Linked DNA regions of Arabidopsis thaliana. The protein of the gene in region 2 interacts with the protein of the main gene of each other region in a pairwise test. Each region holds a gene or a part of one and is shown on either strand. Other genes may lie near its edges.

What was found. Proteins that work in one complex are often made in the same cells at the same time.
Region 1: the proteins of UEV1D-4 (region 2) and AT1G01640 interact in a two-hybrid assay, tested with the Arabidopsis thaliana proteins (one large-scale study listed by BioGRID).

What each region holds. Positions count from the first base shown.
Region 1 is NC_003070.9:229,493-235,974, reverse strand, and holds AT1G01640 (BTB/POZ domain-containing protein), read left to right. Parts: upstream 1-3,344; 5' UTR 3,345-3,577; intron 3,578-4,046; 5' UTR 4,047-4,059; coding exon 4,060-4,191; intron 4,192-4,319; coding exon 4,320-4,811; 3' UTR 4,812-5,067; downstream 5,068-6,482. Other genes in the region: SPPL4 (SIGNAL PEPTIDE PEPTIDASE-LIKE 4), read left to right, coding at 1-130, 223-257, 615-777, 987-1,040, 1,354-1,446, 1,583-1,725, 2,357-2,427, 2,505-2,588 and 1 more; AT1G01630 (Sec14p-like phosphatidylinositol transfer family protein), read right to left, coding at 5,300-5,416, 5,516-5,626, 6,041-6,146, 6,251-6,482. UniProt on the Arabidopsis thaliana protein: May act as a substrate-specific adapter of an E3 ubiquitin-protein ligase complex (CUL3-RBX1-BTB) which mediates the ubiquitination and subsequent proteasomal degradation of target proteins.
Region 2 is NC_003074.8:19,492,031-19,498,640, forward strand, and holds UEV1D-4 (ubiquitin E2 variant 1D-4), read right to left. Parts: upstream 4,066-6,610; 5' UTR 3,925-4,065; coding exon 3,891-3,924; exon of another isoform or gene 3,868-3,890; intron 3,379-3,867; coding exon 3,239-3,378; coding exon of another isoform or gene 3,236-3,238; intron 3,053-3,235; coding exon 2,873-3,052; intron 2,789-2,872; coding exon 2,648-2,788; 3' UTR 2,347-2,647; downstream 1-2,346. Other genes in the region: AT3G52550 (transcription repressor OFP15-like protein), read right to left, coding at 346-882; AT3G52561 (uncharacterized protein), read right to left, coding at 5,158-5,457. UniProt on the Arabidopsis thaliana protein: Has no ubiquitin ligase activity on its own. The heterodimer with UBC catalyzes the synthesis of non-canonical poly-ubiquitin chains that are linked through 'Lys-63'. This type of poly-ubiquitination does not lead to protein degradation by the proteasome.

The DNA.
Region 1 (6,482 bases), on a different chromosome or scaffold from region 2:
TGAGGTCACCGTGATATCAGCAATTTTGTTTGTAGTGGTGGCTTCTTGTTTCCTGATCATGCTCTACAAGCTTATGTCATTCTGGTTTATAGAGGTGTTGGTGGTACTCTTTTGCATAGGTGGCGTAGAGGTAGAACGTTTATCTTGTGACCAATTGAAATCATAGCAATACCTTATTGAACCATCCTGTACTGATGTTGAAAGTTTTGTTGGTGCTATCAGGGGCTGCAAACTTGTTTGGTCTCTCTACTCTCATGGTATGTATAGTTCTTCTCTCATTAACATTTTCTTGTAAGGAGCTTGTTTCACCTCTTTTTGCTTTTCAAAGAGCAGTAGAGAGGAACATTAAGATGGAAACAGCCCTTTAATACTAGAAGAAACACTCGTGATCCCAAGATTTTTTCATTATTTATTCTCGTGCATTGATCTCTTTTCAAACTTTCTACGTTCTGCATTGTCTTGATTTCAGGTCTTGTTTTACCATGAAATAATGAATCAGATAGAAACCATGAGTTGTTTCTTTTTGTTGACTATGAAATGCTAGGGTATTCAAGCTTCTTCACTCTTTGAGAAGTAAAAAAGAAAATCTGATACTGACGTTAAATTTGTTATAGTTTCAGATGGTTCCGCCGCTTTGGAGAATCATATGTCAAAGTTCCTTTCCTGGGTGCTGTCTCATACTTGACTCTGGCTATTTGTCCCTTTTGCATAGCATTTGCTGTATTTTGGGCGGTTAAACGTCAATACTCTTATGCTTGGATAGGGCAAGATATACTTGTAAGCGCGGGTTTCCATCTCTCTCTCTTAACTGACCTTTCTTGAATCCATGTCTTTCTACAAGTATACCTACTGTTAAATTTCCATACAAGGCTACCATGTACATACCTTCATGCATATGTATAAGTAATTGGTGTTAGGTTGACCTATCTGTAGTCTTAACAAATAACACAAGTTAACAGCTTACTTTTGGTTTTTCTTGCTGACAGGGAATCTCACTGATAATCACGGTTCTTCAAATTGTCCGCGTACCAAATCTTAAGGTATTACCAATTCCTTATCAAATGTCACATGGGATTGCCGTTACAATCATGAGGGCACTAAATATCACATGTTGACAAACACCTTTAGCCATCTCGTACCAGCTTTGTTTTGAACCATCACTTTTCCTGTGTATATATTCTGAATTTGTGCTCTAACATGTTGAAAATTCAACTGTCTAAACCAATCAGTTGAAGACTGAAAATTTGATTGCTGCTGGTAGACGGATACAATCATTTCTGCCAATGTATAGAAGACCAATCTCTATAATAACAATATTAGTTATGATGACTCATTGAACTCTTACGTAAACAGGTCGGGTTTGTTCTTCTCAGCTGTGCCTTCATGTATGACATCTTCTGGGTTTTTGTTTCAAAATGGTGGTTCCGTGAAAGCGTGATGATTGTGGTAAGTTTTTCTTTTTTGCTCCAGACCATCATGCAAGAAGACTTTGTTAGATATTCCAACTACACATACTTATCTGTCTGCTCCACACTGATATTATCGGAGAATTGTACGTCTTTTCCCATTTTCCCACATATAGGTAGCCCGTGGTGACAGAAGCGGAGAGGACGGAATTCCAATGCTACTAAAGATCCCACGAATGTTTGATCCTTGGGGTGGCTACAGCATAATTGGATTTGGTGACATTATCTTACCAGGACTGCTTGTAACTTTCGCACTGAGGTTTGCACTGTTACAATCTCCTCTTGCGCTCTCTCACATTATTACTATATCAAGATCTCAACTAAACTGAGTTATTAGAAGCATACAAAAGTATGAAATGATGCGCAAATGCGGATATCAATGTAAATCAGGACAACAAACCAATAGAGGTGCTCAGCGAAAACAACAAAATGTGAAAAGGGTTTATCAGAAACATTGGGGTCATGATATACCTTTATATCCGCATTTGCGCATCATCTCTGACAGATTTTTTATAAAACAAAATCGCTTGAACCTGGCAAAAAAATCTTATAATCCGACATTCTGGTTCAATTTAACCTTATGTCCTTATGCTTTGTGTCTGTTTAATGTGGTTTGCAATTTTTTGAAGAACTTGTAGATAGAAATATACATTACATAGTCTAGTAAATAGATGAGTGTGAATGAATCAAATGTCTTCAGAGAAATCAGGGTAAGGTTGCACTAGGTAGACAAATGGAGACAAGATATTGTTTAGAAAAAGAATTGATAACTGTAGGGATGTGTTTTCAGGTGATCCATCTTATCATTTTCAGTAATAAAAAGGAAACCTATTATGATAAGTACCTTAATCTAATGTTAAATCCGATCAAAATCGTGCACCGTTCTGCAGGTACGACTGGCTGGCGAACAAGAGGCTAAAGTCAGGGTACTTCCTTGGGACAATGTCTGCTTATGGTCTAGGTATGATCCCTCACGTAGGGGAGAAACGAATAAGAAATCTAGTAAAGGTTTTTTAATATGATTCTTGACAATCACAGGTCTTCTCATAACATACATAGCTCTAAACTTGATGGACGGACATGGGCAACCGGCTCTGCTTTACATCGTCCCATTCATACTAGGTAAGAACACTGAACCCACAACAGATGTTTTGGAACCAAAAGCTATGTATGTTTTGAAACTAAGAATGGTTTGTGGTGCAATGTGTCAGGTACTTTGTTCGTGTTGGGTCACAAGAGAGGTGACTTGAAGACGCTGTGGACAACAGGGGAACCCGACAGGCCATGCCCTCACGTTCGTCTTCAACCTCAATCGTCTTAAAACAACCTGCTATGTATCAGATGGGAACAGATAAAAATCAGATGATCCTCTAGTTTTTTTTTATTGTTAATACAACACACCCCTTCTTAGGTCAATATATATGTCTCTGTACGCTTTCACACAACTAGACAGGAGAGCCCATACCACATTTGCCTTAAATAACTCTTTTAACCTCTCTTGCTAGTTTCTCTCTATTATTAGACATGAAACCATGAATAGACTTGGCTTCTTTTCCTGAGTCATGATGATCAGATTTTCTTCTATAACATACATATGTCCAACTAGTATTTTACAGATTACTAATGTAAAAGGGTCACAAGTTTTTTAGAGGAATTATATATAGTAGCAACTAAAATTTTTCATTAATATGACTGATAGTAATAAAAACTGATGCTAACACTTCTAATATAAAGTTGATGTTGATAAAAGTCTAGCTTAACTGAAAAGAAAAGAAAAAAAAACGAGTCTTGAAAATAAATCAGAAGTTGTTGTTGTTGGTTTGTTATGGGCCGATACCGGTGACCCATTAGAGCACGTTGGACCTATAGTTAAAATGCTGGAAAAGATCTTAAAAAAATTCTAGTGATATTTCAAAATCCGATATTCACCTAAACTTTCGCTTTAAACATTTGCTTTTCCGAATTTTTTTGATAATAAATATTGCTCCACTAAAAATATAATCTTAAATTATATCGATATCACAAGTAAAGTAATCATCAAGTCAAGTTCAGAGTCTCTCAGATCATCGTACCGAATCTATAGAGGAAGCAGCCGATCTCGCTATCAGTCGGTAATATACACTATCATTCTACTTTCCTAATTTCTCTTCTTCTTTTTGTTTTCTTTGAGAATTGCATGACAAACCCTTGGAAAAGGGTTGTTTTAAAATCATCATGAAATTTGAGAATATGATCGGTGGCTTGATTGAATTTTCGTTTTGTGTGAGTGGTCTTTCTGTTTGAGTTTTAAAATTTCGGAGAGTGGCGTTTTAAGATTCGATACCATATCCTTGGATAACTATTAGCCAGAACAATACTTTCAAATTTTAAAGCTTTGATTAGAGTTTTAAAGCTTAGGGGAGGATCACAAATTTACAATATTGATCTTATGAATAGAGAACCTCTCTACTACTACTCTTAAGATTTGTTGATTAAAATAAACAATTGTGGCATGTATGGTTAACTTTGATCTTCTTGGTATTTCGTTCTCTGTTTGGCCAAGTAATACTACATACTAAAGCTTTTTGGTTGTGACATTAGTTTGAATAAACTAATGACAGAAGCAGAGCAAAAGGCGGCTTTCCTCGGTGGTCTTGTTGTCTCATTCAAGGAGCAAATGCATACTGATGTTCTCGTTAAACCTGGTGAAGAAGCTCCACCCATACCTACCCACAAAGCCGTTCTGGTAACAGATGATTTACATTTTGCTTTTATATTAATGTCACAGTTCTAGTCTCAAGACATTACTATATTTAGATATGATATGATAACACTGGATCATGATACGACTGAATAAATCTGTTTTTGTTCTAGGCGGCAAGATCAAAGGTCTTCAGGAACATGTTAGATTCTGATGAATGCAAGACCTCCCCCGAGGAATCAATCACTCTCCCTGATTTGTCCCACGACGAACTCAAATCTCTTCTCGAGTTCCTCTACAGCGGTAACCTAAAAGCTCCATACAATCAATACCGATCCCTATATCTGGCTGCAGATAAGTACGACATTTCATATCTGCAAGACGTATGCCGTAACCATTTCATCGCATCTCTGAGCTCTAGGAACGTCCTAGACATCTTAGAGCTCGCCAGTATACCTTGTGACACAATCTTGAAAGACGCGGCTATCAATCATATTGTCAAACATATGGAAGAAGTGGTTGTTCCCATGAAATATGAGACGTTTGTGCAGAGGAACCCGGATCTAAGCGTGGAGATCACTCGGGCTTATCTGAGAGAGACCAAAGCCAAAGCCAAAGATCATGGAGCTCCTCTAAATGGTAATACTCGCCCACGCATCTGGTGAACAAACAGCTTGTGTAAGTGGATCGATCTCACTTGCCAAAGGGGATTTGATGGTTTCTTCTTTTCTTTCTAATAAGAGTGAAAATATTAGTAAAGACTTGTTTTATGGATTATCAATTCAAGGTGTTTTCTTTTTTTCAATGTACCCTTCATAAATTAAACCTCTTTTATATTATTTTGTTGTTTTGGTTTAGAATTCTAGTTGGAACAAGTTGTGTGTTAGATTTGCAGGGAAGAGCAACAGCAAGCTAGACTGAAATTGTATAGTTGCCGAAGTATTATGGCTAGATCACAGTAGATAGATAATTATGAAAAATTACATGAAATTTAAAGGTGTTTTCAATATTATATCTTTTAGCTTCTTTGACAGTAAATATATAATTGTTGGCATTTGGCGACACTCAATATGTTTTTCATTTTATTCAAATAAAAAATAATACTAGTAAGTAATAATTTGGAAATAGAGGTGGGCCGTAGTAAGACCTATAATCAGGTCTCCTGAATAGGAACAAGTGGCAATTTGCCTCCGTAGATGTCGGGAAGTTGGCTTTCGTCTATGTCTTCAAGCAGCGTTGGAGTGAGTTTCTTGTTCTCCACGAAAACAATCTGCCCCCCCAAAAAAACACGAAATTAACAATCAAATTTTCCAACACAGTCTTAAAACATACTAATAAAGTGATTGTGAAGCAGAGCAAATCAATGTACCTTTTTCTTGGTGTTGGCGTCGATAAAAGGATAAATGACCTTCCATGCGGTCATGAAAATGTAGGGGGCATGAACTATATAGAGTTTCCCTAATCTCTCTGGGTAACAATCCTGTAAAACAAGGTTTTCTTAATGTGGGGGTTACTCACTGTCAGGACTCACGACCATGAACAATATTACTAACGCAATATTTTGCTAAAAATAGGATTACAATCATGAAAGTTCCTTTTCAAAAAAAATCCATAAACAAAGAGAAACAAAAAAAAAGAAGCCAAGTGTGGCCAAAAGGACCAAAATAACAAAAAGACCTTTAACCTGATCACCTACTCCAAAATAACAAAAACACCTTTTAAAACATAGTAAATAGTACTGACGAACAAAAGGTTTCTTAGTTGGAAGTCAAACTGAATTCTCTATATTTGGAGTTAAGTGGATTATTAGCAATATTTTCCTTTATTAGTGATAATTGCTAAAAACCTAAATGTTTGTTTCAAAAGATATGATAGGCGAATTAAAGGAAGTAACCTGCAAAGTGGAAAGAGCAGCAAGGTAGCCACGGATGTCACAATTAGAATATCCCCAGCCTTGCAGATCTCCAATTGCTACGAATTTCTCTTGACCTCTCGGCATTCTAACATGACAACATTCAAACAAACAAAAAAAGAGCATTAGCATAAATGGTTTCTTATATACCCACACTAACTTAATGTATGTAGTAATATTATTATTATTCACCTAGCACAAATCTTCTCGAGCGTGTAGACAACAAAACGCTTGAACTCGTCAGGGTTGCCTTTGGAAGGGTTATGTCTGTTCCCAATGGCAACAGCGATAGGTCGACCCATCTTGTCATGACCTTGCATACACATCTTGTTATGCGATAGATCATTTGCAATCTCTGCTTCTGGTATGTGCCCCTTTGGGAGCATGCTTCTCTTCCAAGTCAGGTAATTTAGAAACATCGTTG
Region 2 (6,610 bases):
TTTTTTACTACTAGCTACTATTAGTGATGGAATCACTGGAACTAATCTCTTATAAGAGATGCTTCTGTCTTGCTTCTGTAAAAGAAAATTTTGTTTTATTTGATAAAGGAACAACTAATAAATAGATTAAATTAATAAAATGAACCGTAGCTATATCAGCATGAGTCACACGCATGGAAAAGAAAGAAAGAAGATTTCAAGAATTGACCACATAACATAAGATGATGATCTCTTGGGTCCGCATCAATCATTCTAGACGTAACTCGCGTTCTAACCAAGAACAACCGTCGAGTGCATGTTTACTTATTATCTCATCACAAATTATCGAGTATATATATCAATGATCTATTCAGTAGTTTTCACGATACAATTGGATGTAGCGAAGCGAGTGTACCGCAACCACCTCCACCATGAACCACTTGAAATTAGAGAAAGTGTGGATGGATTCCAAGGACAAGTGCATGAATCCTTGTTCCTCATCTCTTCAAGAATAGAGTTTGATTCTCCTTTACGTTCAAAGATGAGTCTTTCTGATGATTTTATCCCTTTGATCACATTCTCTATGGACTCGGTCTCCGGCACCTCTTCTATGGTGTCGATGGTGGATGAGATGGAGGATGATGATGTAGGAATCATGATGCCAGGAAGCGAATTTTCCTCCTCCTCCTCTTCCTTTTCATTCTCCCTTTTTTCCTTCTCCTTCTCTTCCTTATCCTCCTCCTCCTCTTCATCTTCGGCGTCATAAGGGTTGATTGTGCTGATGGTGATTCTGAAAGATTGAGTTCTAGGGTTTTGGTGACAAGAAGGCCATCCCCATGATGATGAATTTGAATTTGAATAACATGAAGATGAAAAACTCTTGTTTAAAAATGGGACTTTCATAATTTTTCCACCTTTGTTGTTTGCTATCGTTTTATTTTTTGGGTGGATTCAAAATGAGAAATATACTTAGGGGAGTATAAATACAAAATGAGAAACTTAGTATTTATTGTTGAACCTAAAAGTATAACTTTGATTAAAAGTAAACAAGGGTTTAGAAAACATCATTGACCGTATTACATGCTGATCCATAATTTTACTTATAAGTTTGGTCGTACATATTTATCTATCAACCATAACAACAATTTGTCCCATTCGTCTGCGGTCCGTCTAATTCTGGTAAACATAATAATAACCGTACCTATCACAATTTATATTCTTTTTAATGTTCCTTTAAAGCTACTCGACACTCAAATGTTAAAATATGGATGTAACAATATATCTTCCACTTTTAATTTCACGGTGTCACCATATTTATTAGTTGACAACTTCACTTAAGAAAACTGGCTTGTGATTATGCGTATATATCCTAAACATAATGCAAAGTTTGAAACGCAAGTTTTCACATAGCACTACATTTCGTGGAATCTAATTTTCCAATATCAATTTAAGCATATTTCTATATGTTGCTAATGTACATGTAAATATGTAATGTTTCTATTATAGTAAATTAAAATGTACTTGCTTTCGACTATATGTATATAATTATTTCACCCACTTATAAGTTGTTGTTTGGATCCAAAGTTCTTAATTAGGACACCACCACATTTATTTATTGTTTATTTTGTCATCATGCAACCGAATGTCAAATATATCTATACTAAACGCATTTTATAATCTCTAACTATATCATATAAGTATATTGTGAAAGAAAAATTATTTTCTTCTTCTCCATTCTAAAAACGAAATTTTACAATAAAAAGGAAAAAAAGAAAAAAAAACTACAGAGATAACATTTATCACCATAAGATCCAGGCTGGATCAATCCAACCATGAGTGTTAATGTTTGGGCTTGAAATCTGATGAAACATAAATTAATTGAGCTTCTGAGCAATGTGTAAATGTGTTATAGGTTTAATTACGTTCAACCACTTTTTTCATTTATTTAATAAGTTGATTTTCCAAGACCACTCGTAATCAACTTTCATGGAGTCCGTTTATGGTTAAGACCACTCGTAATCAACTTACAAGCAAGTTAAACAGTGTCCTAAAAGTAGAAGTCTACATGTCGAAGAATGATTGTTTCTATGTCAAGAACGACGACGCGGAACATCAAGAAGTACATGCAAATCGACGTGCATCATCATCAATAAGAAGTGTGCTAATTGTAGAAAAAAGTAACACTTAGTTTTCAAAGGTTCTATTAATCACCGTAAGCATTGGCTTTAGATGAATCACAGAAACAAAAATAAGGGTTACGAAGCTGTTCATGGCTTCTTTTTCCATTAGTTCGGATTACAAAGATTCATGATTTTTTATGATACTTTCTTGTTTTAACCTTGGTGTATTACATAACAAATAACCAATTAAATATAGCAGATTTCATTTATATATAAAAAAAGGGCTGACACAAAATGTTAAATTCAAAAGATTGAACACATGGAGTGAGGAAGAGAAGCTGTTTTTGATATTTGCACACAATGATAAAACTTCAGATGATCAATCGGACAACATCATCATCATCACCATACCATCCACACAGACCATTTTTTGATGAATTAAAAAAAAAAAAGCGTTGAGAACGACAATGGAGGACCCCCAGATACATACTTTGGTATTAGAAGGGGCAATGATTTTCTAGCAAACCAGAAGAAGATTCCAGAAGTAACTAGAAGCAAGTACCTTCCGGAGGTTGAACAAGCTTACGGTTATGCGACGTAGACATTTCCTTCTTCAACTGTACCAGTATATCCTCCATTGTGTACTCTCTTTGCCAGTTTGCAAGTAGCCCAAATTTCTTAGGATCCACCTATACACATACGCATAAAAAAATTACAGAGCATCCAAAGAAACAAAACAGAGAAAGGAAGGGCGGTGGTGAGTTTATACGTACCACTCCTGTTTCGTGGTTGACACAAGCCATGTTGACACGTGAATGGAATCGGACAGTTGGAGGTTTCTCCGGGTAATCTTTGTCACAAAAGAGCTTCAACTGATAGATTCTACCTTCATGAACAGTCTGTGACATAAAATTTATCTCTGTTACTACAAGCAAAAGCAACAATGGCATAATCTGCTCAAATAAAGCTTAAGAGATTGTATGTCGATAAGATCAATGCCTAGAAAACAATGTGGTTTTGATGTTCTGTATTCCAAGCAATGAGATGCAAATAATATTAATCTATGCTTCTCAAAACAATTGTTAACATATATGAAGACGAAGGAGAATGTTAGCAGATAAAGAAAAAGATATAACTACGTTGTGAGGACCGATGATGGTGCCAGTCCAAGAACGCATATAGATGTCATCTCCATCATCCATTCCATAGCTCACAGTTCCATCCCCAATACCTTTCTCCCCACGTTCAAGCTCCTCCAACAACCGAAAATTCCTCGGAACTATATTGCAATAACAAGCGTAACAAAAACAATTCATATCAGTAAATGAAAACAAGCAATCACTTTTTTTAATCAAAGCAGAGAACAGAACATATCATATTAATCATTATCCACAAAGACTAAAATAAGATAACACTCAACAAAGTTAACAATGAGCTATAGAGAAGATGAAAACATTCCTAGCTAAGGTCTTAGAAACAATAAGAAACTCAGGAATAGCATTTTAAACCCATCTCAGGAATTGAGACATCAGCAAATCATTCTCAGCGATTTGTTAAAATTGATTGATTCAGATCAAGCTATATGCGAACAATTTAGACAAAGCTACAATTTTTTATACTAGATCGATAGAACCTATGAGAAATCTCAACACCTATTGATCAAAACGAATAAAACCAAAAGAAGAATTCACCAAAACCCTAGAGAAAAAAAAACAAACGAGGGATTATTCCAAAACCCTAGAATCAAAATCAAAAAACGAGAACAAACCCGAAAGAATCGAAATTTTATACCAACAACGCTAGATCCTCCTGAGCCAAGAGTCATAATTGATGAAGTTGTGGTTTCGATATCCGATTGATTTTGAGATCTGACGAGCAGAGAAGAGAGACGAGAAGAAGTAAAGGGAGAATCGAATAGAGAGAATCTGGTGAATAGACAGAAAGCTAAAATGGGAGGGTCAAATTTGGCAAATCGGGTACTTTTGGGGAGACTGGAAAAAGTTATTTTTTTCAAATTTACCGCCCAAATTTGTTTTTCTATCATATAATTCCTTAAATTATGATAACTACAGAAACACCCCTTTTATTTTCGAGTTTTGACAACATCTATTTGTTATTATTTTAACTAGCAATGCAAAATTTCTATATACATGAAAATTATTGAAATATTAAAACTCGCTTGATTTGCAACTAAATTATCGTAAAATGTAAATTTCTTTTTCAAAAATCATGTTAAAACTTTAGGATAAAATGTTGTCACGTATATATGTCGTCGCATGTGCCTTAATATATATGAAAAACAGAAATTAATTATTTATTAGATTTTTGAAAATTTAGTACTTATAAATAGAAAAATGTCATAAAATACATTAAAACAAATTTTAGTTGCTACTTTTTCACTAAATTTAGGTTTAAAAATATTTTCTTAAATAATTTAATATTTGAAGTTTGTAAAAGTTCTTAAATTTTATTGAATTTGATGGTGAATTGTTTTGAATAAATAACGTTTTAATTGATGAAGATACAACTTTTAACCTTAATTATTGAAAATTTCATCGGATTGAATGCCGATGAAACCAAAGCAATACCATTATTAGCATACTACCAATTTGATTCTTAAGACCCTAATTCGAGACGTGTCGATTTTTTTACTTGTGTTTAAATTTATATTTTGTAATTTTTAAAAATAAACTTTCTATTTTTTTTGGCGTTTTTCATTTACATTGAAAAACTATGTTTCTCTGGAGTATACAAATAAATAAATATAAACGCAAACGCCATAACTAGCGTTTGAAACAATCGAATTCAACTCCGATGAAAATCCATCCTCGTTCATGTCATTGGCTTCCATAGTACTAAAACATGAAAATGGACAACTTAACAAAATGAACCAAGAGGGACGGCCACAAACAGAAATGATCTGTCTGTCAATTTAACATATTAAAATAGAGATTATAATTTAAACAATATGATTTATATAGAGGACTTTACAAAGAAAATTAAATTCATCATCTCAAACTCAAAAGTCCAAATTGAATAATAACTTAAAACAAATTCTCTAAAAGAAGATCAAGTCGGTGCATTTGCACTTGGGGCAACGTTGACGTTCTTGTAAGACCATAACATACATCATACAACTTCGACATCCCATCACCACCATCTCCGGCGCCTCTTCTTCATCAACCCACGACGATGCAACCTCCTCCTTCACTTCCTCCGTCCTCGTCAGGCACGAGTTTTGTGATGATGATGTGTCGCTCGATGGTGATCTTCCTTCAAACCTCCCATTAGCAACCACCGACGCCACGGTCCTCGCCGAGGGCTCAACGCTACCTCTTTTACCATTCTTGTTTCTCATTTCGATACTTCGGTTTCGTCGAGAGGGTTTTTGTATTCTTGTATTTGTTTTTCTCTGTGTTTTTCTAGGGGATGGGTTGATGGTAATGACTTCTAAAGAAAATGTATGTATGTAATATATAAGGAAGAAGAGGAGCTAAAATATGACTAGGAATTAATATTTGTTGAATAAAGTAATTATGTTGTGGAGAGAGATATGACTTTGTTTATTTCGTAATAATTTTTTTAATTGGAGGTGGGAAAGTTAGTAAAAGTATAGTAGAGACAAATATATGAAACAAAAGACAATTCAGTAAACAATGCATTAGTGCATTTAAACCAGTGCAGCAAACTATTTATTGCTAAATGTAAAGGGGAAGACTTAAATCTTACAATTTAAAAGAAGAATTTATGATTTTTTATTGGTAATCTAAATTTTAAGTAATATGTCATCCATTTGATTTGTTAATGTAACGTTAAATTATATTTCAAGAAAATAACAGTTTTACAAATACTACGATTTGTGTTTGAAAGAATTTAAACTTAGGGTTTAAAGAATAAAGAAGAAACTGAATTTGTCATCCATTTCACAATAGTTTTAATCTTATGACTTCACTTTTTTGTTTCATAAATTTGTCGTTTTGTATATTTAATGTATATTTTAAAGAAACTTATAGTTTATTTATATGGCGTATTTTATCAATTAGACTTTGTTTGTTTGATTCATTTATTAGTTAATACTACTCAATGTTTTATCTATTAAATTGTTTGTCACAGTAAGACTATTATTCAACTGATTTCTTGAATGAAAATATGTCTAAAATAACTTTAGTGACACCAATACATATTTTTCTCATAAATGTTTTTACTATTCTCTCTGTTTCATTATAAATTTTGTTTTATAATTTTACACGTATTAAAACCTATTAATTTTTTAATTGTATAATTTATTAAATTTTCAATGTTAAATCAATAAACTACAATAATACAAATATAGAACTACATGGTGTGATTTATAGTCATTTTAGAAATAGTGTCTAGAAAGTATGGTTCATTCAAGAAAATGGTCTAATAATAGTTTATAGTATGAAAAAACAATTTTGAATATAGTTAAAGATAGAAATAATGGCTAGCACTAACTAAAAATGAATCAAATAAAAAGAATTCATCTACAA